Linked DNA regions of Cricetulus griseus. The protein of the gene in region 3 purifies or fractionates together with the protein of the main gene of each other region. This does not show direct contact. Links are inferred from orthologs where the notes say so. Each region holds a gene or a part of one and is shown on either strand. Other genes may lie near its edges.

What was found.
Region 1: the proteins of Gdi2 (region 3) and Rab24 purify together in Homo sapiens (affinity purification with mass spectrometry; 3 studies listed by BioGRID and IntAct, with this or other methods). This does not show direct contact. The link is inferred for Cricetulus griseus from reciprocal best matches to the Homo sapiens genes GDI2 and RAB24.
Region 2: the proteins of Gdi2 (region 3) and Rab7a purify together in Homo sapiens (affinity purification with mass spectrometry; 3 studies listed by BioGRID and IntAct, with this or other methods). This does not show direct contact. The link is inferred for Cricetulus griseus from reciprocal best matches to the Homo sapiens genes GDI2 and RAB7A.
Region 4: the proteins of Gdi2 (region 3) and Rab1a purify together in Homo sapiens (affinity purification with mass spectrometry; 6 studies listed by BioGRID and IntAct, counting the BioPlex papers as one, with this or other methods). This does not show direct contact. The link is inferred for Cricetulus griseus from reciprocal best matches to the Homo sapiens genes GDI2 and RAB1A.
Region 5: the proteins of Gdi2 (region 3) and Rab10 purify together in Homo sapiens (co-immunoprecipitation; 3 studies listed by BioGRID and IntAct, with this or other methods). This does not show direct contact. The link is inferred for Cricetulus griseus from reciprocal best matches to the Homo sapiens genes GDI2 and RAB10.
Region 6: the proteins of Gdi2 (region 3) and Rab5a purify together in Homo sapiens (affinity purification with mass spectrometry; 3 studies listed by BioGRID and IntAct, counting the BioPlex papers as one, with this or other methods). This does not show direct contact. The link is inferred for Cricetulus griseus from reciprocal best matches to the Homo sapiens genes GDI2 and RAB5A.
Region 7: the proteins of Gdi2 (region 3) and Rab8a purify together in Homo sapiens (co-immunoprecipitation; 5 studies listed by BioGRID and IntAct, with this or other methods). This does not show direct contact. The link is inferred for Cricetulus griseus from reciprocal best matches to the Homo sapiens genes GDI2 and RAB8A.

What each region holds. Positions count from the first base shown.
Region 1 is NC_048596.1:274,309,615-274,313,520, reverse strand, and holds Rab24 (ras-related protein Rab-24), read left to right. Parts: upstream 1-1,313; 5' UTR 1,314-1,595; coding exon 1,596-1,712; intron 1,713-1,794; coding exon 1,795-1,863; intron 1,864-2,065; coding exon 2,066-2,144; intron 2,145-2,250; coding exon 2,251-2,318; intron 2,319-2,399; coding exon 2,400-2,499; intron 2,500-2,690; coding exon 2,691-2,741; intron 2,742-2,873; coding exon 2,874-2,936; intron 2,937-3,050; coding exon 3,051-3,115; 3' UTR 3,116-3,406; downstream 3,407-3,906. Other genes in the region: Prelid1 (PRELI domain-containing protein 1, mitochondrial), read right to left, coding at 321-546, 995-1,086.
Region 2 is NC_048601.1:55,318,992-55,322,078, reverse strand, and holds part of Rab7a (ras-related protein Rab-7a), read right to left. Parts: exon of another isoform or gene 3,021-3,087; coding exon 2,892-3,020; exon of another isoform or gene 2,626-2,891; intron 1-2,625.
Region 3 is NC_048596.1:228,629,340-228,632,839, reverse strand, and holds part of Gdi2 (rab GDP dissociation inhibitor beta), read right to left. Parts: intron 3,284-3,500; coding exon 3,184-3,283; intron 881-3,183; coding exon 746-880; intron 1-745. UniProt on the Homo sapiens protein: GDP-dissociation inhibitor preventing the GDP to GTP exchange of most Rab proteins. By keeping these small GTPases in their inactive GDP-bound form regulates intracellular membrane trafficking.
Region 4 is NW_023276807.1:86,287,706-86,291,759, forward strand, and holds the start of Rab1a (ras-related protein Rab-1A), read right to left. Parts: upstream 2,801-4,054; 5' UTR 2,592-2,800; coding exon 2,569-2,591; intron 1-2,568. UniProt on the Homo sapiens protein: The small GTPases Rab are key regulators of intracellular membrane trafficking, from the formation of transport vesicles to their fusion with membranes.
Region 5 is NC_048600.1:14,240,577-14,244,748, forward strand, and holds the start of Rab10 (ras-related protein Rab-10), read right to left. Parts: upstream 2,801-4,172; 5' UTR 2,261-2,800; coding exon 2,134-2,260; intron 1-2,133. UniProt on the Homo sapiens protein: The small GTPases Rab are key regulators of intracellular membrane trafficking, from the formation of transport vesicles to their fusion with membranes.
Region 6 is NW_023276806.1:249,770,615-249,774,711, forward strand, and holds the end of Rab5a (ras-related protein Rab-5A), read right to left. Parts: intron 1,863-4,097; coding exon 1,747-1,862; 3' UTR 501-1,746; downstream 1-500. Other genes in the region: Pp2d1 (protein phosphatase 2C-like domain-containing protein 1), read left to right, coding at 1-318. UniProt on the Homo sapiens protein: The small GTPases Rab are key regulators of intracellular membrane trafficking, from the formation of transport vesicles to their fusion with membranes.
Region 7 is NW_023276806.1:246,924,205-246,928,252, reverse strand, and holds the start of Rab8a (ras-related protein Rab-8A), read right to left. Parts: upstream 2,801-4,048; 5' UTR 2,765-2,800; coding exon 2,641-2,764; intron 1-2,640. UniProt on the Homo sapiens protein: The small GTPases Rab are key regulators of intracellular membrane trafficking, from the formation of transport vesicles to their fusion with membranes.

The DNA.
Region 1 (3,906 bases), about 46 Mb from region 3:
TTTTGTGCACAGCACTTGAAACAAGTTCTGCAAAGAGGTGTTCCCCCGTCATCTGAGAGCCAGTGGGCAGGCCCAGAGAGGCCGACCACCCGAAATGGGGCAACCTGAGGCCTAACTCTACAGAATTTGATCATCAGCATTTTTTTTTTTTTTTGAGGCTGTCCTGGAACTCAGTCTGTAGACCGGGCTGGCCTGCAACTCACAGAAATCCACCTGCCTTTGCCTCCCGAGTGCTGGGACTAAAGGCCTGCGCCACCAATGCCCGGCCTTTGCCTGTGATCTGAGGGGCAACCATTTTGAGGGACCGAAGGAGGCCTCACCATCAGCCGGGCGTGGTTGATGTTCCAGGTGAAGGTGGTCATGGTTTGCTTCTGTGGGTCCACAATCGAGTCCTCCAGGATGTACACCGAGTGGGCGACGTTGGCAGGAAACAGTCGCTCTGCCCAACGTGGCATCCTGTTGGTCTTGGTCAGGAGTCTCCGGGACAGAAGCTTCTGGTCAGGAGTCACCTCGCGGTGCACGATGTCTTCGGTTAAGACATGTTTGCTGCGGGCGTGGCAATGAGGAGGATTCTCAGAGGTCTGCTCGTGATCAGCTGTGATCCACAGGTTCGCATTTGGAGCCTCCGGGTCATGGCTTCCCGCAATCTTACTGAGAGCACACTGAACCTATCCCCGGGCAAATTCCACATCCTCCCTCCCTCCTCCCCTCCCCTCCCCTGACCTAGTTGTGAGGCTGTCCAGGCTCAGGGCTTGGACCACCTGAGAGCGCCGCGGGCAGGCGAGCAGGCCGGCGCCGGCCTTTCTCCACCCTGCCCGCCCGCCGCGGTTCCGGCCCGGACAGCGGCCTCCGAGGGCCTGGCAGGCCGGTGGCGGCCGCAGTGGGCACTCTGCGTTCTCACCGCGCCGCCGCCTTCCCTGCCGACACTCTGGGCCGGCCGCGGCGCCCACGTCCACACGCGGACAGGCGATGCTCGCCCGGCCCCGCCGCGTACCTGTAGGGGTTCGGGTACCGTTGCCAGAAGGCAGCGAACACTTGGTCCCAGGAGCTCCGGAGCACGCTCTGGCCCAGGAAATACTTCACCATCGTCCCGACCCGGGCGGGCTCAGCACCCGCGCAGCATCAGGGTGACGAGCCCGGGGGTGGGGGGCACGAGGCTCGGCGCACGCCCGCCAGGCTCGCAGCTCAGTCACCGCCGCGCCGCGCCCAGGTCCCTGCCGCCGCCATGGGGGGACTATAGGACTGCGCGACGCTTCCGGCGCCGGCCGGGCAGGATCGGCCACTTCCGGCGTCCGCGCCACGTGACCAGAAGTCCCGCCTCCTGCCGTCCAGTGCCGGAGGTTCGGGTCGCAGTCAGCGCCGGGGACCCGGGTCTCAGTCAGCAGCCCCGGCGGCGCGGAGCCTCGGTGCCCGCGGCGATCGCGCGGGGGAGCGGCCCAGGCTCCGGCGACGCGGCGGAGGGCGCTGTCCGCGTCCCCGCGCCGCGGGCCTGCGAGGGACGGAGCGCCCGGGCCGAGGCCCTTGGGGTTGGGGTCTGAGGCTCGGGCTCGGCCGGGGCCGCGCGGACCCCGCCGTGGCGAGGCGGCCCCGGGAGCATGAGCGGGCAGCGCGTGGACGTGAAGGTGGTGATGCTGGGCAAGGAGTACGTGGGCAAGACGAGCCTGGTGGAGCGATACGTGCACGACCGCTTCTTGGTGGGCCCCTATCAGAACGTGAGTCAACCCCTCCCTCCGCAGCAGGCGCGGGAAGAAGGGGGCCGGCCCCGCTCGACGCTTATCTCTCCCCTGGTTGCAGACCATCGGGGCTGCCTTCGTGGCCAAGGTGATGTGCGTCGGAGACCGGACGGTGACTCTGGGTATTTGGGTAAGTCCCTCGGGGATGCATACAGTCTTGAGCAAACGCATCCCCAGGTGTAATGTCTTGCCTTAAACTAGCCAACTGGAGCCCCATAGAGGGCGTTTTTCCTTCCCCACACCCATTAGCTTAAAAAAAAACGGGGGTCTGGAAGACGCGGGCCTAGTTCGTAGTCTTATGAAGGAGCTCATTAACTCCTTTCACCCGCCAGGACACAGCAGGATCTGAGCGCTACGAAGCCATGAGCAGGATCTATTACCGGGGTGCGAAAGCTGCCATTGTCTGTTATGGTAAGGGGTTGGATTCTGGCCTGTTCAAGTAAGGTTTGGGTTACAGGCCGGCATCCGAGGTTAACTACTGATTCTTGGTTGTGTCTCCCGTCTGATCCCTACCAAGACCTCACTGACAGCAGCAGCTTTGAGAGAGCCAAGTTCTGGGTGAAGGAGCTGCGCAGTTTAGAGGAGGTAGGTGGCCAGATCTTACAGGTCAGCGACAGGGACTCCCTTGGCCTGTGCAGATCATCTCAGCCTTGTCTTCTGCTACAGGGCTGTCAGATCTACCTGTGTGGCACTAAGAGCGACCTGCTGGAGGAAGACAGGCGGCGCCGTCGTGTAGACTTCCATGATGTCCAAGACTATGCAGATAGTAGCTGTTATAAAGTCTTTTGAGGGTGGGGGGCAGGGGGTGGGTGATACCTGCTTGAGCCATCACAAGGACAGAAGACTGACAGCCTTGGCTGCTCTCTGCCCTTCTTGACCCTATGGGATCCAGGACCCTGAACTGGTAGCTTTAGGTCTGAGCTTCAGGTATGAAGACTTAGTCACTTCTCTTTGCAGATATCAAAGCCCAGCTCTTTGAAACATCCAGCAAGACAGGCCAGAGTGTGGGTGAGTGTTGTCTTGAGGTCTGTCAGCAGGAGCAGGCAGGACACTGGAGGAAAAAAGTTCAGAGGGCTGGGTCACTCTCGGGGGTTCCCGGAGCTCTTGGCACCAGGACCTCACTGATGCTTTGCTTGCCAGACGAGCTCTTCCAGAAAGTGGCAGAGGATTACGTCAGTGTGGCTGCTTTCCAGGTGATGACAGGTGTGTACTTCCTACCCTTTAAGATTGCCTCTAGGCTCATGGTCTCTAGCCCTGTTGGGACTTACCTGTTCACCTGCCATGATGGCGCTGAGCAGCCACCTCTCTCTTTGACAGAGGACAAAGGTGTGGATCTGAGCCAGAAGGCAAACCCTTACTTCTACAGCTGTTGTCATCACTGAGTCACAACTCATCTGGCCTGGGAGAATTAAATGAATTCCCCAGAGGGGCTGGACCCAATTCTTGTCTGGGCTGGCATGGTCAAGTGTCTGAGCTACTCCAGGTGCCCATGACAGCAGAGGTGGCACCTGCCTGTGCTGGCCCATGGAACGGAGGCAGTACTGGGCAGACTGTGGGCATGAAGAGGGTTAAGGGCAGATTTGAATCCCAGGCTTCTATCCTGGACAGAACTTGTCACAGGTTATTTAAGTAGCTTCTGAACTGTAAATAAAATTGATGCACTGTGACTCACAGCCCCTTCCCTGCTGTGTGCACTGGGTGTCAAAACACCCGGTTGTTCCTGGGGCCACCTGCCTGGCCTCACTTCCTCTAAGACTGACCATTTGGAAACCAAGTAACTGTCACTGCGATCATGGAGGAGCAATGGGCTCTTACATCCCCACATCCATGTGCGTTTGTATGTGTATGTGCATGGAGAGCAAACCCTCAGGGCTTCTAACACAGGCAGAAGCTTTACCACTGAATGATACCAGTCACTTTGTTCTGTGGGGATGAAGACAGGCTTAGAAACTGGGATGGAGGAGTACAAAGCTCATGAGAGCAAGGAAAACACCTACTAAGTTGTGCCACAGATGAAAAGGCTTGGCCATCACCAATCTCAAGACAAGGTGGTTTGGCCAGCTCTACTTCTCGTGTCATGTCTAGACCTGTGGCTCTATGAGTCAGCCCCCAGCCTCCCTGGGACGCCTTGTAGTGTATTTAACAAGAGGCAGTCCATAGTTCTGCAAGTCAG
Region 2 (3,087 bases), on a different chromosome or scaffold from region 3:
CACAGGGCTTATCACTCTTGCTCCCTCAGCAAAGCAGCCCTGTTTGGACACAGCATGAAGACAGCCATCTGCATAACAGGAGAATCCCCTATCTGAAACCCAGTGAGTCAGCACCTTGGTCCCAGACTCTAAAATTGTGACAACAAAATAAAATGTCATATGTATAAGCTGTCCGATATGTGGTATTTTGTTATGGCCCACCCAAGTATTCCAACAAAAATCTCAACAGGCTTTCTCTTAGCTGGGAGAGAGTTGGAAGGTAGTTACAGGTAAGCAGAACCACATACTAAAGATAGTGAAATAGAGATGGTCCAGGTAAAGCAGTGGCCTCCAACATGTGGGCTGGGATCCCTTTTGGGGTCACACATCAGATATTTACAATTCGTGAAGCAGCAATGAAATACTTTTATGGTTGGGGGGGCAATGAAATACTTTTATGGTTGGGGGGTGTCACCACAATTTGAGGAACTATAATTAAAGGGCTGACGTAAAGGAACCCAGACACTGCCAAGACAGTCCAGGAATTCTGGAGGAAGAGCATGAGTGCTTTAACAACTGGTCACACTTCAAGGGGACAACAGCTATTTCCCAGCACTCACTCCCACTAGGAATGTGGGTTCTCAGGAGGGAAAAGTGACCAAAGCTGAGTTATACCCAGACCTTTAAAATGTATCTGACAGGAAGAGGACTTTTTCTTGTTGCTGAAGCTGGCCTTCAACTCCTGATCCTCCTGCCTCCACTTCCCAATGTTCTACCACATCTGGTCTCTACTTTCAATGCAGCCCAGGCAGTCCTGGATCTTGCCATCCTCCTCTCTTCTTATTTCAGCTCCCTAAGTGCTGAAATGCCAAGCAGACCCTACCACACCAGCTAAGAGCCCTTTTCCCCTAGGGCCAAAGTCTATCAAAAACAAGAGTTGGGAGATGGGACGGAAGATGGATGGAAGGTAGGCAGAGGTGTAGTATCTACTCACAAAGAGTTGATAAGGTCACTCTGGGCACATTCCCGAGGACCACCTGTGAAAGGACCATGTGTTGGTGTGGTCAGGACTCTTGGTGAGTCAGGGAACTAAAAAGCCCCATACTAAAGGTTTGGAGAATTCAAAAGGAGACCTAGGTTCCTCTTTCCAGGAAAGAGAAGATGAAATATTAAAAAGGATAACAAACCTCATGAGAAAGAGCAAGGGGTCAGCCAAGATTCTGTGCTGGCCATTCAAAGACCACTGTTGTGGGATATTTTGATAGCACTTACTGATTGGTTTGAGCTCTCTTGGTTCTGGAATAAGGGAAGAGACGTGTTTCTTAGGGTGTATCCAGCCAAAAAGGAAGGTCAGCTAGTTGCTACTCAACCTCTCTGAGCTAGCAGGTTTTCACCCCAGCCTTTGACTTCCTAGTCTTATTGGTAAATAGAATGATAGAGACTCAATTTAAAACTACTGGGGGGGGGGGCGCACTGACAGAGGGGCTGTGGGGTGGCATACAATGATGAGAGGCTCAGAGGGACAGTGCTATGAAGATGGCAACTGACAGAGCCAGCAGTTAAGTGTTGTGGTACCACCCACAGCTGGGGAGCTTCCCTAGGTGAACTACCCAGCCTCATCCAAACAGTGGGTCACCTCACAGAAAGAGGAGCGGCAGGTGGAGGGAGCCTGACAGTGGTGCCAGTCAACACAACAGAAACGGGAGACACTTCCATGTGTTTGGATTTCACATGGATACATGCATGCTAAGAAAAATCCAGGTGGGAGGGGAGATTGGGGTGGTGGTGGAGGACACCAGAAGAAAGCATATTTTTGGGGGGGGCTTTCTTGGCATTTGGATGAACTGTCCTACCTGGGTAGGCCCACCACTGTCATGAAGCACTTTGTATAGCCCCTCTAAGCCAGGACTCCCACCTCTGGAACAATTCATAGCAAATCTCTGCCACCCACACAGCCACTAGTTCTGGTCTGCTGGGAATCAATGCATTATCAACCCAGCTTCCTAGAGATGGGAGACCCTGTCTTGACTTTCAAATTACCACCTACCTCATGTATCACTGCAGACCCATGCTGTTTTCTATATCGTGCATGATGACACCTTGTGGCCTGCTTTAATTTTCCATGGCCCTCAAAAATGCTGGTAGCCCAAGCTTACATTTTTAAAAAACTTCCCCCATACTATAACAAGCCCCAGGATCTTGCATATGCTAAGCAAACTCTCTAGATTGGCCACACTTCCAGCACTACTATGTTGTCCTAGCTAGCCTTGAATTTGCCATGCTGTCTCAGCTTCCTCCCCTGGCACACAGTATCTTCTCTAGAGGAGGGTAGCTGAAAGCTCTGAGTTCCCTGACGGTTTTCTTTTTATTTCTTATTTGTGTATATAAGTAACTACTCTCAGGAAAGTGCCACTTCATGGTTTGAGAGCTGAGTCAGGGGACCACCATCACGCTACATATGGCCTTGCTTGAGGTGGGGGGCAGAAGCTCAGACACGGCTAGATGGCAGCTGGGATCTGACTGAAGTTCATCTCATTAACTAGAAGCATTGCTTGGCAAGAGGCCTCAGGTGGCTTGATCTCCTAAAAGTCCAGGAGCAAACAAGCCCACACCTCTTTCACCATGTGTCTGTTTTGTTCCCCCAAGGTCTTCCATGTCTGAGACCAGGCTGCCTGGAAGGCTCTGTATCTTAGGTAAGTGTTTTATCACCAAGCCATACCCTAGCTCTGCCCTGTCTTTTAGATGACTAACAAAGCTGTGATCTCCTAAGGACGGAGGCAGAATATGTTATGACCTACCCATCTGGAGAAGCACCTTACGTTTTCCCAGGTGCAGCTTGGGAAGAAAAACATCTAGGAAAGAACACAGGACATCACCAGAGTGTGCCTGCAGCTGCAGAGCCCTGCACCCACCTGTTTAAGGGCATTCCGAGCAATTGTCTGGAAGGCCTGCTCCACATTGATGGCTTCCTTGGCACTGGTCTCAAAGTAGGGAATGTTGTTTTTGCTGTAGCACCAAGCCTGTGCCCTCTTTGTGGCCACCTACAGGAGGGAGGACATTACTGCCATGAACAGCTCCAAGACAAGTACACTGGTGAGAACAGATCTG
Region 3 (3,500 bases):
GAAGCTGACCGCCCTGTGGGTCACTTACTTTAATGAAACTTAAACAATCGGTGAGCTGCTCTACACACTTTTAAAAAAACAGCTATAAGCAGGGCTGGAGAGATGGCTCATCAGTTAGGAGAGCTTGCTGCTCTTGCAGAGGACCTGAGTTAGGGTCCCAGCACCCATATCAGGCAAATAATCACACACAATAAAAATAAAATATCTTTAAAAGAAACACACTGAGCTGGGTGGTGGTGGCACACACCTTTAATCCCGGCACCAGGGAGGTAGAGGCAGGTGGATTTCATTGAGTTTGAGGCAAGTCTGGTCTGCAAAGTGAGTTCCAGGACAGCCAGAGCTGTTACACAGAGAAACCCTGTCTTGAACACCAAAAAAAAAAAAAAAAAAAAAAGGGGGGGGGAATACATGGGACATTACCTTGTCTAAAAATATTAAATTAATATTTAAAAAAAAGCTGAGAGAGAGAGAGAGAGAGAGAGAGAGAGAGAGAGAGAGAGAGAATTAAATCCCAAGCTCTCTTGAGTCAGTACTCCTACTAATAGCATATAGCTGGTACTAAGAAAAAGCTAAGAAAACTTCTAGTTTCACATCCTTTCCCCTCCTCTCCTAAACAGAACAGAACATTAAGAAGGGCCTAAATGAGTGTCTGGCACTATAACTATCTGTTGACTAGACAAATAGGTTTCTGGGACTCCTTTTCACCATAAAAATCGTGTCATTCTGATAAATGAGAATTACTTACTAGATGCCAGTGCTTCTGCTTCAGTGGAAGGAACCTTGTAGATTTTCCCTCCCTTGTAGACAAAGCTCCCTTCAATCACTTTGAAATCCATATAGCGAGTGACCTCTGTGTAAAGTAACATCTTCACCAACTGACCTGAAAAAGTCATGTAATGCAAGCTGTCACTCAAACCTTACTACCAATAAAACTTAGCACCCAAAATTTTCCTAAAGAATTGTATAGCAATCCTTACCAAGAAGCCCCCAAAGCTGTGTTTTCAATGGTATGACTAGAAATTCACACCTTAAGCATACGTTTAAGCTTAATGTTACAACTTGTAGGCTAACAAAGGCCATGAAATATGTACTGGTGAGTGAATTGAGGCAACCTTGCAGTTCTGTATCAGTCACAGACAATTCCAAATATTTCAATTTCTAAGTCTACTTATATTTATTAAGAGTATATCAACATCAAATAGATTAAGGACTACAATTAGGAATCCCATCTGCCTATAAGACCAAGGAGGCTCACTTACCCAAATCAGCCAAAAGTTTTGTGAGACCAAAACCATTTTAAAGATGATTTGAAAGGATAACTACAACAGGGTAGTCACATCATTTTTGAAGTTAGGGCTGGGGGACATAACTTAGTGTAAAAACATTTATCTAGCATGTGTGAGACCCTGTATTCAAACTCCAGAACAACAACAAAAAAAATTAAGGAAATAAAGTATAAAGAGATTCTCATGCAGCAGAGATTAAAGTACACTGAAAAATTACATCAACTGGCCCCATTATTAAGCCTTGTGACCTTAAAAGACCAACGAATGTTTTATAAAGAAAAACACATGCAATAGAATTGTGCAGCAAAGTCCCTGTCTACAAAGGCTGCCCCTGTGTCTTCAGAGAGGTGATATCTATAAGGAGTTCATTGCAAGGAGAACACAACTTAATAGAAAATAAGTCAATTCACCAATAAACAGGAAAGCTGGTCAATAACTAAAACTCATTCCACCCTCTAATGGACAGATTTATGGTAAAAATTCAAATTTTACCTTACAATGGCAAATGGCAGAAACAAAAATGAATACTATCAAGGGCTGGTTGATAACGGTACTGGGAAAGGCAAAAGCCAAATGTGGTAATAAACAGAAAAAGCCTTCTGAAAAAGATCCATAATTCTTGCCGGGCGCACGCCTTTAATCCCAGCACTCGGGAGGCAGAGGCAGGCGGATCTCTGTGAGTCCGAGGCCAGCCTGATCTACAGAGCGAGTGCCAGGATAGGCTCCAAAGCTACACAGAGAAACTCTGTCTCAAAAAACAAAAACAAACAAACAAACAAAAATCCATAATTCTCTCCTAAGGGTACCCAATGCTATCTGTCATCAGTCACACACACTCCTTTCCTCCCTCTTACACCCCCTACACATACATTATACACTGGCTGAAAACTGCATGGGAACTGGGACTATGCATATGTGTATCTCAAACATCAAAATGTTAAGCACAATTAAATCTAAGGTTTTATCCCTAGCACTGCAAAGAAAAAAAAAAAATCCAGATAGTGGGATTCTGACTATGCAAATTTTGTTTCCTTCCTGCTTACTGTTAATGTTGCCTAGACTATACAAACTTGGATAATTTACAAGAATTCAATTATTTAAATTTAAAAGAACATTCAAACAATGTATCTATAATACAAACTATAAAATGTAACTCAAAAAAAGAAAAAGAATAACACATACTATATTTCATGGGAAATAAATTTGTAACAAAAAATTTAGTTTTTCCTTTGTTTTCTATTTTTCCAGACAGAGCCTCACACTGTGAGACATGGATGACTTAAAGTTTACTTGTAGCACAGGAAAGTCTCACATTATCAGCAATCTTCCTGCCTCAGCTTTCTGAGTACTGGGATTACAGGTGTAAACCACTGCACCTGGCTCATTTTTTAATACCATCTTAGAAAAAAATAGACACCACAGAAATTTTAAGATAGTTCAGTCCTCTAAAATCCTGAGAAATTAGGTGATCTCAACAGCTTACACACTAGAAAGCCTTTAAAAGACCATTTAAGACTCAGGCTCCCAAAGTCTCTCGAAGGTACTTACAATGTTATTATATTTAGAATTTTTGTTTGTACTACACCACACCAGATTTGCAACAAATGTTTCTAACTGTGTGAAATGTCTATAGTTTCTTACATACATATATAATATATACTACAAAATCTTCAATTTTAACATGCACTGTGTCACATCATGCTTTTGTTTCTTTTCAGAGCTATTTTCTATACCTCCTTCCCTCCATTCTTAATTAGACTCCAGACACTTTTAATGAAACATATTACTAAACATACTATTGACATCAACCAATTCCCCAGGGCCTCAGACCTGGGATAATGTTCTCTACTTCCAACCCAGATTCCATACAGTCATAAATAATGCTAGCATTCTTTACCATTGGCCATAAGGAACTTGGGAATTAAGTCAACATTCCAGTCTCTTCCTCTCCCCATTGATGCTGGTGGTTGTCCTGGTAACTTAAATCTTTTGTATAACTAAAAGTAGAAAAAAAAATACCTATAATGTAACGAGAGGCTGAGGTATAATACAACTATAAGAGGTAAAACACAAATCATTTTATTTTTAATCAGATAAAACTTTTATCTGTCAAGTAAACTTTTAGTCAGATAAGACTTTCAAGTCTCAATATATTATGTAATTAAATACAGTATGTAACTCGTGAATGCTAAGATACACAAGCATTGCAGAAGT
Region 4 (4,054 bases), on a different chromosome or scaffold from region 3:
TTTGTAACTCCAACTCCAAGGAATGGCTCTACCCCAGTGGTTCCCAATCTAGGGGTCGAGACCCTACCATTTATAACAGTAGTACAGTTATGAAGAGACAACAAAAATAATTTTATGGCTGGGGGCCACCACAAGATGAAGAATTGTATTAAAGGGTCATAGCATTAGGAAGGTTAAGAACCACTGCTCTAACCTCAAACACACACATACAAATAAATAATATTTAAATATATGTAACAAAGCCGGACGTTGGTGGTGCACACCTTAATCCCAGCACTCTGGAAGCAGAGTCAGGCAGATCTCTGTGAGTTCGAGGCCAGCCTGGTCTACAGAAGGAGTGCCAGGATAGGCTCCAAAGCTACACAGAGAATGTTGTGGAATTTGGGGAGGCCCGTAGAGGGCCCTACCCTCTATGGGGAGTGGAGGGAGGAGGGGGCTGGGGGAGAAGTTGGGGGGGGAGAAGGGACTGACATGTGAAATTATAATTTTGTAAAAAGAAAAAATTGCCGAGCGTTGGTGGTGCACGCCTTTAATCCCAGCACTCGGGAGGCAGAGACAGGCGGATCTCTGTGAGTTGGAGGCCAGCCTGGTCTCCAGAGCCAGTGCCAGGATCGGCTCCAAAGCTACACAGAGAAACCCTGTCTCGAAAAACGAAAAACCAAATACATACATACATACATACATACATACATACATACAAAACAAATATAGGAAACTCCTCAAATAGTACAGGTTTACAAACCTCCCTAGTCTAGTAAATCCATGGGGGGGGTTGTTGTTTTGGTTTTGGTTTTTTGGTTTTTCGAGACAAGGTTTCTCTGTAGCTTTAGAGGCTGTCCTGGAACTCACTCTGTAGGCCAGGCTGGTCTCAAACTAACAGAGATCCACCTGCCTCTGCCTCCAGAGTGCTCGCCGCCTACGCCACCGTCCAACACCAGGCTGATTAAATCCAAGTTCTTTACGGATGCCAGGAAAACTAACTAGGAACCCAATTCAACTTTGCTCTACTAAACCAATTTTGTCCTGCAGAGTCGGTGACTTGGGGAAGGGGCTGCCAACACAGCAAGTATGAACTGTTCCCAACTTCTTAAAGAAGTACAAAAGTCTGGACCAGTAAGATGGCTCTATGATTAGACTGCTCGTCTGAGTTCAGTCTTCAGAAACCACAAAGGAAGATGGAACCAACTCTTAAAATTTGTTCCCTGACCTTTTTCACGCAAGTACTGTGGCACCTGTGCACCTGCAATCACATGCATTACACACACACAATAAAATTAATGTAAAATTCTACCAAGATACTATGACTTCTGCTTAGCACAAATGAAAAAGAACATCTCAGCATAAAACCACAGTCTTACAAAACTTGGAACTTAGAATGCATTTTGCAAGAGCCATGTGACACACACATGATGACAAGTCAGCTAAACTGATGGATAGACCTTTCATGGGGAAACACTTAGCGGTAATTGATCAAGCAACAAATTCAGCTTTAAGGCTATGCTGGCTTCTCTTATCAAAAAAAAAAAAAAAAAATCCACTCCCTTAAAGATTTCTGACACTAAAGAGAACAAAAATGCCATCTCTTCAAGTTAACTTTCATATATAAAAGTATAGGAGGATTTTAGGTGCAGTTCAAAAGAGCCCAACAATGTCTACTCAAGAAAAGAGATCACCAGTTCCCATGAAAGGTGCCAGGTGTGTCACATCTGCTATAGTGACTTCTTGAGTAAGCAAGAAAAAGGAATGCATTAACTTTTCATGACACGTCATGGAACCTCATTCCCTATCTACAGGCTTTCAACTAGGTAATCTAAAACCTACAGCTCTATCAAAGCTCTTTTCCAATTTGTGAGCAAACTCGTACTTTAAGTTGGCGGTGCCAGGAAGACATTTTTAATTTTAGTTGTTGTTATTGTTGACCTACTGAAAACAAAAGGTGACTTGGAGACTTAGGTGTCCTCTAAAACAAAAATTTCACAAATGCCCAGGATTGTAGAAGGACCATGGCTCACACTCTTTAAAGAACTCCTCAGGAGACAAGCCCAAAAGGAAACTAAACATTGTAAATACCTTCTCACCATCTCCTCAACCCACGCAGTCCCGAGAAACATCCATATTACCTGAAACCCGCCGGGGAGAGAGCTGTAACAAGCTGAGGATTTACAAGGAAAGCTGGTTTCCTCGCTGCCGAGGCTGACAGCTCCGCAGAGCCGGCGCAGGGTCTGACAGTGCCCTCTAGCAGAGCTCTCCCACCTACCTCCCTTAAAAACAAGTCCTCCTCCAGCCGTCACTGCCTCCCAGAGACGCGCCCCTCCTGGCCGCTGTCCGAGGCCGATTCCCCAACGCCCGGCCGCGGCACACAGCTCCCCGCCGGCTCCCCGGCCCCTGCCCCGGAGGCCCGACCCCTCCCCGCCGCGGCCCTCGGCCGTCAGACAATGGGGCCCTGGGGCCGCTCCGCCTCGCTCGCCCGGCCGACCTTCCCGCTGCCGCGCAGCGAGCCTCCCGGTGGCCTTCACCCCCCGGCCGGACGCCCTCACCCCCAGCCCGCCCCGGCTCTCCTGCACTCACTATTCGGGATTCATGCTGGACATGTCACTGCAGCTGCCGCCGCCGCCACCGCCCTTGCTGACGCAGCCGCCGCCCCGACTCTCCGCGCCACGGGTAATGGAAGGGAAGGAATGAGCTAAGCTGTTCCGGTAGAGCAAACGTCGACCCCACTCCGACCCTTAGAACACAATCAGCAGCCGCCGCCACTCAGTGATCGCTTCCACCCAAAATGGCCGCCGGCGAACCAGGAACTAGGGAAGCCTAGGCCAAGGGGCCTGTCGCGGCCCAGAGGGCGGCCGCGTCGCGCGGCACGCCGGGAAATAGAGTCGTGAGCGCACCGCACGCTGGCCAGCCTGACGGGGCCGAGGACAGCTTGCACTCAGCTTCCCACCAGGCCCCGCGCCCCGCACGCGTGCGCACCTGCGAGCTTGTCGTCCGCCCCGTCCCGATTCCCTCACCCCACACCCCGCCCTTCCTGCTCCCCTCCCCTCTGGCTTGCTGGCTAGGACTTCGCTCGGACTCCCCCTAGCGGATTGGCTAAGGCCGAGCGGGCTGTGTTGATGTCATCAGTGAGACGTGGCAGCTGGGCGAGTCGGCGCCCCACGGGAAGGGGAGGGGAAGGAACCCGGCGGAGGGCGGTGCCGCATCCGAGGGGGTGGGGGCTCCTGGGGACTCCAGGACAGAGTGAGGAGGGGCCATTGGGGCTGGAAGGGAGGTATGAGGACCACCTCCCTGCTCTGGCGCGACCCTGGGGGCCATCCACACGAGCCTCCGGACAGCTCTAAGAACAGAAGGAAAGTCAAGCCGCCTCTGTGGATCTTGCGCTTCTTATTCACCCGATCCGTTCTTTTCTCATTTTTTAAAAACCATTTTACTTTAGCAACCTGACATTGCAGTAGCTGCAAATGGACCCTGCTTTTGTCTCTTTTCTGCCGCCCCCCACCCCAGTCCACTTGCACATACAGCCAGATTTATCTTTCTGAAACTGCGACTCCATCATGACCTCCCAACCTTCAAAGGCTCCGCATTGTGTGGTTGAGACACAGGCTAGAGTCAGCCTAAACCAGTCTGCCTACTTGAGGCCTAGACTTATAAAGTTGAATTGTTGGGGGTTTTGTTTTTGTTTTTTCAGGTCTGCTGTTGTTTTTGTTTGTTTTATTAGTTAGTACTTAATTCTGTATCGTTCTGCAAAATTGGGCAGTAACAAGTAATTTTTTTCTTTCTTTTTGTTTTTTTGGTTTTTCGAGACAGGGTTTCTCTGCGTAGCTTTGGAGCTTATCCTGGGACTCGCTCTGGAGACCACGCTGGCCTCGAACTCACAGAGATCCTCCTGTCTCTGCTTTCCTAGTGCTGGGATTAAAGGCGTGCGCTACCAAAGCCCGACAACAAGTGATTTTTTTTTTCAAGCCATGCAATTCTTCACTACAGACTCCAGAACTAATATTAATACATTTTTAGACCTTATGCTCTTAACTTTAATCAGCTCAGGAATTTAAATGTTGACTAA
Region 5 (4,172 bases), on a different chromosome or scaffold from region 3:
GTACCTGGCACCATTGCTAAAGACTTTGCTCTCAAAGACCTATAAAATCCTCACAAGCACCACACACAGTACTTGTACACAGTTTAATACTATTTAATACATTGTAGCCAAAGTTGTAGTTAGCAACCTGTGGAGCACGGATTCCAACACAACAGGCTACATGAGAAACAACCCATTCCCAAGTGAAAGAACAACAAAGACTACAGAATCAGGACTGGAGATGTAGCTCAGCAGCTTGCCTACCAAGCATGAGGCTAGTCGATTCCCACTACCTGAGTACAGGTAGCTAGGGAGCTGAGTGTCACCTTTCACAAGAAAGAAAGAAAGAGGGGAGGGAGGAGGGAGGGAGGGAGGAGGGAGGGAGGGAGAGAGAGAGAGAGAGAGAGAGAGAGAGAGAGAGAGAGAGAGGGAACAAGGGAGGGAGGCAGGGAGAAAAAACTTTGCTTCCTACTTTCCACCTCACCCTTCTCAATGGCAGGATTTACAAAACTGACCACACATTAAATTCTCTTTCAGAAAGGCTGTCTCCCCTCTGATCCAGTACTTGTCTTTCAGGCTTCATTTTAAACTATCCATGGAAAGCTACTCAGATTCCCCATAATTCAGACTAGTCCTTTCCTCCCTCTCCTCACTGTAGTGCTTTTCGCACTACTGTGACAGTCTTCTTCAGAATGGTCAAGGGGTCTATTGTATCCACCACTTATTCCCAATACCTTTAGCAGTGCCTAGCATTGGGTGCTCAATAAATATTTGCTGATCTAACCACCTGACTCACCCAGTTACACCTCAAAGCAAACTCAGTGCTAACCCACAAAGCAGAGGGCAAGTTTAAGTTTCATGAAATTCTGGCAATCCCTCCCACCAGTAAGATAAAACAAAACAACCTATTTTAACTAAAAACTTGTTCACTTTAATTTCAGTAAGCTTGTTTTATACAAATGAGTTTAAGTTATTGATAAATATGTGTCATAAAGAAATCCAAGCCGATTTCAATAATACTCTAAATTGGTTAAAATTAGTTTGATTTTTACAATTCTTAAGAGCTGAAAAACCACTAAGGCTGCTTCCCTAAATAATCTCATCATAAAATTTGTTACATTTATCGCAAGTTTTCCTGCACTGCCCTAATACTGAAGCTGATGTCCAAAACTGACAGACACAGGATACTTTCAAAAACTGGGGGCAAGGATGGGGGAGATGTATCATGCACAGCTTTTTGTTTGTTTGTTTGTTGACAAAATTAATGTTGGTGCCAGAGTCAAAACGACTTTCTTGGAACCTTCCCTTTTCATTTCCGAAACAGGAAACCCATTTAAAAAGGTCAACCCCCACCCCCTCAACTTTTACTTCTATACCAAGTAATTCCAAAATATGTGGTAAAAGTACATTAGAAGTCCTTAGGGCCATGACCGGCGAAACATTTTCCTGTAAATTCTAGTGTCAAGTAAAACACGAGAGCTTGACTTGATTCCATCGTGTGGAAGACAGAAACCGAACATCTCCCTCAGTCTATTATTTCTGTTGAGGTCTTGTAAAGGCACTGTGAGCCAATCGTGGCAGATTCCCACCCCAAGCACGAAGAGCCTCCAATTGTTTGACACATCAATGGTTTAGTCAAGACAGCCAACTCACCTCCCCCCCCCCGGCCCGGCCCCTCTCATTTTCTTTAATGATTCTGCAACTCTCAAGTTTACTCCAAGTTACAGCCAGACGGAATATTCTCTGTGACCCCAAATATAAATTTGGGCCTTTACCACATAGCCAGTAATGCTTCAGTCTCAACCACTAAAATATGCCTATTACAAGTATCACATCAAGTAAGTTCACTCGATTATGGAAAGGCCATTCAAGTCACTTAAAGAAACAGGATTCTGGAACGCTGCTAAATGCTGCATATTTTGTGCCAGCAGGCAACGAACAGAGAAGGAGACTTGAAAGCAAAGACCGGATGGAAAGCATGGGAAGACCCCGCCCCAGTAAGCGCTATTCCGATTCCAACAGTAACTCAGGTCTGTCGTCTGGAATCGGAATCACTGGAACAAAGGCGTAAATTCCGGGAAGCAAGATGTCTGGAATAAAAGAAAAAGGTTCGCGGCTACAGAGCCCCCCACATCATCTTCCCACAGGTCTTACCTATGGTGGAAATAAAGGTGGTATTGAAGGCATCATCCGAAAAACGAAAAAGGACGCAGGTCTTGCCCACTCCCGAGTCCCCGATCAGGAGCAGCTTGAAAAGCAGGTCGTACGTCTTCTTCGCCATTGGGAGGAGCGGCTCGGGCGCTCGCCGCCGGTAGCCCCAAGGGATCGGTGCTGCTCACTACGGCCAACTCCTCACCCGGGCGTTCTGGGGCCGCAGCAGCGGAGAAGCGTATGCCAGGGAGAAAGCAACTCTCGAGACCGAGCGGGAGACCTTCCGAACGGCCTCGTCGAGGAAGCCCCGACGGTGGCGGCGCCCGTGCCTCCGAGGGGCGGCGCCCGCGGCTCCGCAGCCTCTCCCAGCCGCTCCGCCCGGTTCCGGGGAGTCGGTCGGGACAAAATGGCCTCCCCTCCCCCCTCAGCGCGGCTCGGCCGGGACGCTCCCACGGACGAGCGAGCGAGCTCTACGTCGAGGGAGCGCGGCGGGCTTGAACACGGCCTCCGCCCGGAGCAGATACTCCGCGCTAGGACCCGGGCGAGGGCAGCGAAGGAGGTCTCGCGAGCCGACGAGCCCTGCTACATAACCCCAGGAAACCGAGCCGCCCCGGCCAGAGCCACCTTTTTCCCCGTGCCCTCTCACGCCGGCGTGCGCGCTGCCTGAGACGCACGCAAGGACGTACACCCGCCCTTCTCTCGCGCCCTCGCCCCTGCGGCCGGCTTCTGCGCACGCGCGCGGGAGGGCATGCAGGGCACGCGGAGGTGGGACTAGAGAGGGCGAGGCCGCGGGCGCGCTCCCTGCGGCCTTCTGATTGGGTGCGTGGCTTGACGAACACGCCCCACGGGGGGGCGAGGCCTGGGAACTGCGCCGGCGCACTACTGCCTTGAAGCCCTGCTCTCCCCCCCCCCCGCCTTTTCCGGGGCGCCCTGCTGATTGCTGGGATCTTCTGTTCCCCCTCAGTCTCTGGTTGTGGGGCGAAGGAAGTTGGCTGAGCGACGGGCGTGGGTGGCCACGCGCGCGTGTGTGTGTGTGTGTGGTGTGTGTTTCGTAGATGAGAGAAAGGAGTGTCCTGGGCCATTTAGTAAGAACCTCCTTACTAAAACTAGACGTCTCCAGAAGGGCCCTCGCTTGTGGGCCGGTCGTGACATCGCCGTGTTCTTAAGGAGCCAGAGTTCGAAGGATCTGGAATTCCAAATTGAAAGATCGCAGCACTCCTGGGATCGGGATGATGTCATCGGCCTGAGGAACACCGGGTGCGGGGAGAACCTCCCTGCAAATGGAAGCTTCGCTGCTCCAGGCCTAAATAGCCCTTGGAATCCCCTGGAGCCGGAACGCTCTAGACAGAGAAGGCGGACGGGGTCACTTTTGCCAAAGTTGTATCACTAAATCGAAAACCCGAAAGCTTGTCCCATCCCAACTTTTTCACTTGTTTGTAGGTTGGTTATTTTGTTACAAAGTCTGGCTACGTACCCCATGGTGGCCTCCAATTCATGATCTGCCAGTTGCAGCTCCCGAGTGCTTCTCTTGCGGGTTTGCACCGCCAAACCCGTGCCATGTCTTCTCATCTGCCTTACCCCCTTCTTTCCTCTCTCTGTGTTTTATTTATACTTCCCTTTTCTCATCTTCCGTTCTGTAGTTGAAATGGCTACATTTCTAACCTACCTTTCTCAGTAGGTTCCATCACTCCAGCACATGCAGAATGTGATGGTACAGTGGTTGAAACTGGTGAGCTGGTTAAACCATATAGAAATTTTTTTTTAAGAGAGGTTAAAGCTTCATTTTAACTCACCATCACCAAAATCTGCATTTCGTGTGTAACCTAAGCCTTTGGTCATGTTCTTTTGTGACCATCACAGTTGTGTTCATATTCTTAGACAGATTTTTCTTCCTTCTAAGCACCCCTAAAGCTTTGGAGACGTTGGCATTCTCTAAGCCATCTCCCTCCAGTTGATTCACTGATCGGTCTTAGTTTTATCATTAAGACATATCGTCCGAATCATTCTTCCTCCCAATGGGAATGTCTTAACCATAGCGGAAG
Region 6 (4,097 bases), on a different chromosome or scaffold from region 3:
TCAACTACTAATCTAACAAAAAGGTCATCTGATTCAGTATTTTCTCAAGCTTGCATTAATCAGGCTAAAAATGCAGAAACATTTCCTCCAGAAATGACTAATTATGACACTCACAGCAAGAAAGAAACTAACAGCCCACGCACTATAGACAGTAAGACGGGAAGCGAGAAAGAACTATATGCTAAGAATTTCTATGAAGGTGCAGCTGAGTACATTGGCCATGAACTAGTAAGGGCTGCTTTAGAAGGTGGTTCCAGAGAGAGCATCACTGTTATGGTAGTGTTTCTCAATGGGAGTGAGTATCAGCTGCTGACATAAAAACATTCCAAAGACCCAGAGCAGCAAACAGCACCACAAAGACTTCAGTACACCAGATTCTAGGACAGATCATGACTCTAGACAATGATTCTTAACAGGAAGAAAATACAAAAGCGTTTGGTTATATACAATAAATGTGTTATGCTCACTACTTTATGTTAAAGAGAAAGAAAACTCAAGTGTTGCTTTTTATACCACTTTATTCCAACCTGAGCACCTCAATATAAAACTAAACCCTGGTGAACTGTTTTCCTTACTAATTTTGAGTTATTGTAAAATGTACAAGTTCTGCTAGCAGATTGACACTTAAACAGATTAAATCATCTGACACATGGTAGATTTCATATAATGGAAATACCTAAAATAATTAGTGCAACATACTGATCAAAATAAAATGGACTTTGAAAAACAAGGTTTCAAGATTATTACTAATAACATTGTAATACTTATGTTACAAATTGTAGGTACAGTGTTTATTATGGTTCTAGCCATGTAAGAACAGCAAAGCCCCTTCCTTTCATAGGGGGAATAAAGAAATAATTAGCTGTTTTAGTAACTGTACATTTTGTATACGCTTAGGCAATTCTTAAATATTACAGAAAATAATAAACATGGAGACTACAATGCAGTACTCTATTTACAGTACAGCTGAAGATCATATTTAAAATCAAGTTTGAATGTACATAATTGTTAGTGCACTGACCAATCATGTCCAAAAGGAACCAGAGCTCCCTCCCTGCTCCAGACAGACCTCTATGTAATGGCCAACAGTGATTAAAGAGAAATCAGACACCTGGTTTGTTTCCACTTTGTTGAAGAGCTCACACGAAGGGACCACTATCCATTAAAATGCATTCATCAGTTTTTATATTCCTAAAACAAGATGGGGTTACACATGACTTCTTTTCACTCAAATTTTAGGACTGAGTAAAATGTCACTAATATTCATTCTTTCTGGAGATGTAGGACTGTTTTCTTAGGATTATTTTATTAATATGTGGAATGTACACTTTTTAGCCAATAGGAGAAATTACCACTTGCTTGTCTTCTGTTGCTAAGCATAAATATTTTTAGTCTTCTAAAAATGTTTTCCTAAAGCTCACATTAGTAATTATGAATCTTTCACACCTGACTATTATCTCAGGTTGGAGACTGGGTGGGTTAAGTGTGGATCTACCCCCGATGGAGACGAATGGTTCCCCTGCACTTTCCCACAAACAAATTGTACACGGTTCCTTTTCCCTTTCTACTGCCGAAACATTAGTTGGAAGAACACATGCATGTTATTAAAAATTAAGCTCAAAACACTCAAAATAATTCAGTATTAGAAACTTGATTCTACCATAAGTCTCTTTTTGGAAGTCACATTGGGCCGGCTAAATGCTCCCACACCACGATTTTTTCCATTTAGGAAGTTCACACTGGAGTTCAGTTACTACAACACTGGCTTCTGGCTGGCTGTGCAGGCTCAGTAAGGTCTACTCCTCGTCCTCTGGCAGAGTTTGCACCTGGATTCTGTGGTTCATTCTTTGGCAGCTTTTTAGCTAAGAAAGAAATGACCAAAATAAAATTATAATATTAATGTTAAAATCACTTAGACCTACTTATTTATAATACTCTTTCTCCAAAGTTTTATGTGACTGACTTGTTTGCTCCTTTCAAATGTTTATTATCTACTAAATGCCAGAAAGTAAAGCCAAACACCAATAATCCCAAAGAACACATCACTGGTTGTTGTACTAAAGGAGTTTAATTTCTTAGTGTTTGTGAAGGAATAGGTAGAGGCCAATTGTAGGCATATCATTTAAACTTAAATTTAATTAGAACTATACACAATTTTTATATCATTCCCCACAGAAATAACATATTTTACTTAATTATTAATAGTTTGTGTCATATTGGTTCAGAGCAAAGTAGGCAACTCTACTACCACTTAGCTACACTCAGACTATTTAATCATTAAATTTTTATTATATACAATCTGCTGGACATGGTGGGACATAACTGCAATCCCATGATTCACTCTGGAGAATGAATTGGTACACTCACTTGAGCCCAGGAAGGAAGTTAAAACTAGCCTGAGAAGCATATCACAACTCCATTTTGAAAAGTAAAACAGATAAAAATCCAGCCAATGGATCATGGCCAGCTATAAAGTATATAAAGAAGCTCACATTATATCAACATTCTCTGGGTTGTCCCAAATAATTCTGAGAATGAGTCAGGATATAAGCACATTCTATCAACATAACCACCACACCAACCCAACCAAACTAGTCCATTACTGTGCAACCTAATCAGCAAACCCAATTATATGACATACAGCATCCACTTCTTTCCTGGCTTCCACACCCTTCAAACATCTAAGTTTTCCCCTCTTGGGTTATGAGAACCTCAATCTGATTTACAAACAGTGACACTTACTATACACAAATAGCTTTGTGAGTTCTATACAACTAATAGTGGTTTGGTAGTGCTCCCCACCAAAAATTCACCTGCTAGATCCATGGCTTAATCCTGTGGACAAAGCAGCAATATTCCTGAGTAGTACTGCACTATCCAATCCTACCTGGAATCCTGGACCTTTTTGTTTGATTTGTGCTAGGAACCTGGGCTTGCACGTTACACACATTAACAACTACCACTAAGCCACACAACCTCATCCTGCATTTTTTAAACTGCATTTCCCCCCTACTTTGCTGTATCATTTATCTTTAGCCTCTCAGATGCTAGAAGCAGGTCCAGTGAGCACTGATACTGATGTTTGGAAAGACAGCTTCCACTGGGCCACCCTAGGAATGACTCTAGAGCTGGTACCATAAAGTACAATAAAGATAAATGTTCAGTCAGATGTATTTACAAGCAATGCCCAGAAAGTGGATTAATAATGGTACTAGGAACACAGAATAAGTTAGCACTGTAGCCTGTATTATAGTAAATACTGAATTGGGTTTTGGAATGTATATAATTTCTCCTTATAGTTTACTCCTCTAAGGACTTTCTTTAACCACATCTGACTGAGATTAGGAGGAAGGAAGTAAACAGCAACAAGGACTGTTTCTGTTCACTGGACTGATTTGAGATGCTAACTTTATCAAGGAAAGACCACAGTTCCATTTACACTGGAGATTTCTTTAAAGAAGGGAAAGAATTTAATTTGAATCAAAATCTGCCAGTGAGGAATAGAATCAGGCTTCAGAAATGCAACACAAGCACTGTACCACAGAGCTACTTGCCCAGCCTACAAGTCTTAAGATTAAGTCTAAAGTGTAGCTTCGATGGGAATGGTGGGTCCATCCTGTAATCCCAGCACTTGGGAACTGAGGCAAGAGGATCTGGAGTTCCAGGCCAGCATTGGCTGTACAGTGAGACAATGTCTGACAAAAATACAACAGGTTCAGTTAATGAATGCTTGTTGTGTAACCAGTAAATTCTGAGTTTGGATCCTCAGCACCCATGTGAAAACATGAACATGTAACTCCAGCACTAGGGGTGGATCATATAGAGATAGAAAGATCTTGGGATTTTCAATGAGCTCAGAGTTCACTGAAAGACTCAGGCTCAAAACAATGGGATAGTAAGGTGATTCAGGAGGTGAAGCTGCTGGCTGCCAAGCTTTATGACGTCAGTTTCATATCTGGAACCTACATGGTATAAGGAGTAGACCTCCCTCCACATTTGTACTATGGCACACACACACAAAAGAAATGTTTAAAAATGGAAGATGGAGAAATAATGAAGGAGAACATCTTAATGTCAACTTCTCACTTCCATATATA
Region 7 (4,048 bases), on a different chromosome or scaffold from region 3:
GGTTCAAGTGCTACCTTTACCTCACTGTAAAGGAGGGCTGTCTCCCAGGGACCCCGAAGGACTAAGTTGGTTTTCTGATCAAGAGTTTCAAACCATCCAGATGGATATGATCAGTGGTCAGATATGTGGTTAACCTGGGCTCCATATCCAGTACTTCAAAAAGAAAAACTGGAGAAACACACGTGAGATGTAAAACAAGAGCCTACAAGAAACCTCATCAGGTAAAGGTGCTTGCCACTAAGCCTGATGATGTGAGTTCAATTCCTGGGGCCCACTTGGTGAAAGGAAAAAAACTAACTCCCACAAGTTGTCTCCTGACTTTGGCATATATGCACACACACAAAATAAATGTAACAAAACCAGTGGAGCAGGATGGCTCATATCTGTAATTCCAGCATTTGGGAAACAGGGGCAGGCAGATTTCCAAGAGTTCCAGGACAGCATGGTTTACACAGTGAATTCTAGGCCAGCCTGTTTCAAACAAACAAACAAACAAACAAACAAACAAACAAACAAACAAGGGCTAGGGACATGTTTGATCCCTCGAACCCATATAAAAATACCTGGGCATGGTGGTATCAACTTACAATCCCAGCACTGGTGACACAGAGAAAGAAGGGTCCTAGGGCTAGCTCCAGGTTCAGTGAGCTCCAGGTTCAGTGAGAGACTCAGCAAAGATGGCTTGGTGGGTAAAGGTACTTGCCCATAAGCCTGGCAGCCTGAGATCAGTCCCAATGATCCACATGGTGGAAGGAAAGAACAGACTCCCACAGATTGTCCTCTGACCCCCACATGTGCACCAGCATGCACCTACCTTCCGAATAAAATAATTAAAAAAAAAGAAAAAAGAAAAAGCAGCAGCAAGGAGAGTGACTGATCTGGTTGTTGACAACCAGTTCACTCTGGTGTCAACCTCTAGCCTCCAGCCCTCATATATATGCATGAGTATGCAAGAGCACACACACACACACACACACACACACACACAATAAAGCAAGCAAGCAAACAAACAGAAAACCACCCTGAACTAATACGTTGGTGACTAGGAAGTGTCTGAGGCCGGGAAACTGAGGTCTGTGTTGAGAGCAAGCCAGAGCCTGTGGGCAGCTATTGTCATTTCCTGCTTGGTCCTCACCTAAGGGTGACTCCAAAGCTGGATGTTTTGGGGGGGGGAGGGGAGAAGCTTCAGATGCACCTGTGTCCAGGGGTGTCTAAACCCTCCGCTTCCCCCAGATGGACCTCTTCACTCGTTGTATAGAGCTAACCCTCAACCACCCCGGGCACCAGCCAAGACAGACAGTGCCACATCTGCTCTAAACCAAATCACATAAGAAAGGTCAGAGCCTGTTCAAGGATGAACAGCACCTGGAGTCCAGGTATAATTTTCTGTACTTGACACCTGACTGTTTTAGAGTGCCCACCAGGAAGGAGAGTTCCGATGACATTAGCACACAATGGTCCGGTCAGGGAGACAATACAGCTTAGTTGACATTACACAGAAATCATTCCCTATGTTTTCCTTTTCTTTCTGAGCCAGGACTCATGTAGCTCAACCTGGCCTTGAACAGTCTATGTAACCAAGGATGACCCGAACTCCTGATCCACCTGCCTCCACCTACCTAGTGCTGTCATTACAGCTATTTACCAGCACACCTGGTTTCAGGATGCTGGGGATGGACCCCAGGACTGCACCAACTGAACAACAGCTTGGCCTGGGATAAACCAGGCCTAGGCACCATTCTCTTGTTCCAGGGCCATACAGCATGCAGACCACCCTGTTTGACAGGAGTTACTTCCAGGTCCAAGGTCTGTGCCATTTTTGACATCAGGACTTTGTCAATCACAAGCCAATTCTGTTCAACTGCACCGTGAGGCAGCCCTGGGGGAAAGCTGTTCAGGAAGTGACAGGTGGTGTCCTGTCAAGGCTGCACGTGGCCGTGGCCGATCTTAGTTTCTCACAGGAACTTTTTTCTCACATCTCCACCAGGGTGACAGGTACTAGCACCACTCCTCAGGCAGAGGGCAGCAGGACTTTGGGTTGGAGTCCTGACTTAAAGGTTAATTGATGGTGCTGGCCCTGTGAGGGTATAAGGCGGCACCTCTCTGGGACAGCTAGGCCTCGAATTTGGGAGTCAGATACACATGGGTTCAAATCTCAACCCTGACACCTGTAGACTGACCTTCAGTGCGTGCCACACCCTCCCTCAGTTTCAAATTCCTCCTTCAGCGACACAACACCCAACCCGAGAGCACTACAGTATTTGATAGTGCACAGGCCGAACCTGGCACATAGGGAATGATGCACGAGGTCAGGTGTCACTTCCATGCCTCAGTTTCCACTTCTGTAAGACGGGGATCTCTCCCAAAATTACCGTCTCGAGGGCTGCTGTGAGGACAGAGAGTTGACAGGCTCCAGGACCCCAGCCCAGGGCAGCCTCTCCCTCAGACAGCAGCCTGAGTGTTCCCGTCTGCACCTCGTTCGCGGCGTCCCCTCGAGGAGACGGAGGCCGCTGCGGTCCTCCGTCAGGGCCCACGACCCTCCCGGATCCTCGGCCCGGGTGGATACCGAGCCGATCCCTCAGCCCAGCCCCACAGGGGCGCGCCCAGCCCCGGTCCCCGGCCGCCCCGAGGCGCCGCTACCTATGGTGGAGATGAACGTGGAGTTGAAGGCGTCCTCGGAGAAGCGGAACAGGACACAGGTCTTCCCCACCCCCGAGTCCCCGATCAGCAGCAGCTTGAACAGGTAATCGTAGGTCTTCGCCATATTACACTCTCTCCCCGACGGGAAGTCCGGCCGGCGCCTCGCCACTGGCCGCTAGACCCGTCCATCATCTCAGATCCCGCCCCCTATTGGACCTCGGCCCGCCGCGCGTCACCGAGGCCGACGCCCGCCCTCCGGAGCCCCGCCCGTCGCAGGGAGCTCAGGGCAAAGAGACGAATCCGGCGCAGAGCCGGAAGCAGCCGCACCGCGCCGCTCATTGGCTGGCCCTTGGGGTAGCGAGATTTGTGATTGGCTAGAGATGGAGAGTCGGAGTGGGGGGGCTTCAAATGAACGGCGGTGGGCGTGGCTATGCCCTGGCCCCACCTTCTCATTCCCCGCCCCTGACGGGAGGGACCCCAACAATTCCGCGCGCTAGGGGCGGCGAGGGACGGACGGGCTTGGTGAAAATGCGCATGCGTGCTGGAAGACGGTTGGCTCCAGCAGAGGGCGCACGCGCGCGGAGGACGCCTCAGCTTTCCCGCCTTCGCAGCCCGCGCAGTCGCATTTAGGCACTGCGGCGAAGCGCGGGAAGTGCATGAGTCACTGCGCTCACTCCCTTGTGGAGGTTTTTCGGCCGAGGCCTCCGGGCTCGCCCCAGTGAGCCCGCCACGCGAGGCCCTGAGGCGTGCCATCCCAGAGGCCGTAGCGGGGGCAGGCGCTGGTAGGACAGTGGCAGATCAGTGTAATGGCAGTGTTTGTTCTGTGCCCGCCGGAAATGCAGGCTCCTTCACCCCACACCAGCGGCTGAGTATGCTGACGCTATAGGTGAGGTGACTTTCCCAGGCTTTACAGTGGCACTTCCTTCCCTTCTGGGTTTTTGTTTTTGTTTTTTTCGAGAAAGTGTTTCTCTGTGTAGCTTTGGAGGCTGTCCTGAAACTTGCTCTGTAGACCAGGCTGGCCTCGAACTCACAGAGATGCGCCTGCCTCTGCCTTCTGAGTGCTGGGTGTAGGGAAAAAGGGCCAGCCAGAGAAACACACTTTGGCCCTGCAATAAGTGCCAAAGAAACACACTTTGGCCCTGGAATCAGAGTCAGTGAAAGAAATATACCTTGGTTCTAAAACTAGAGCCAAAAGCTAAAAGAACTTGTGAAAGAAACACACTTTGTCCCTAGAATCAGAGCCCGTGAAAGAAATACACCCTGGTCCTAAAACAAGAGCCAAAAGGCTAAAAAGACCAGTGAAAGAAACACTTTGGCCCTGAAACCAGAGCCAAATCTGACCACAAGCCTGTGCAGAAAACTAAGCAATCCCTGAGCAGGAGATCTAGCCAATCTGAGTTCAGGGATT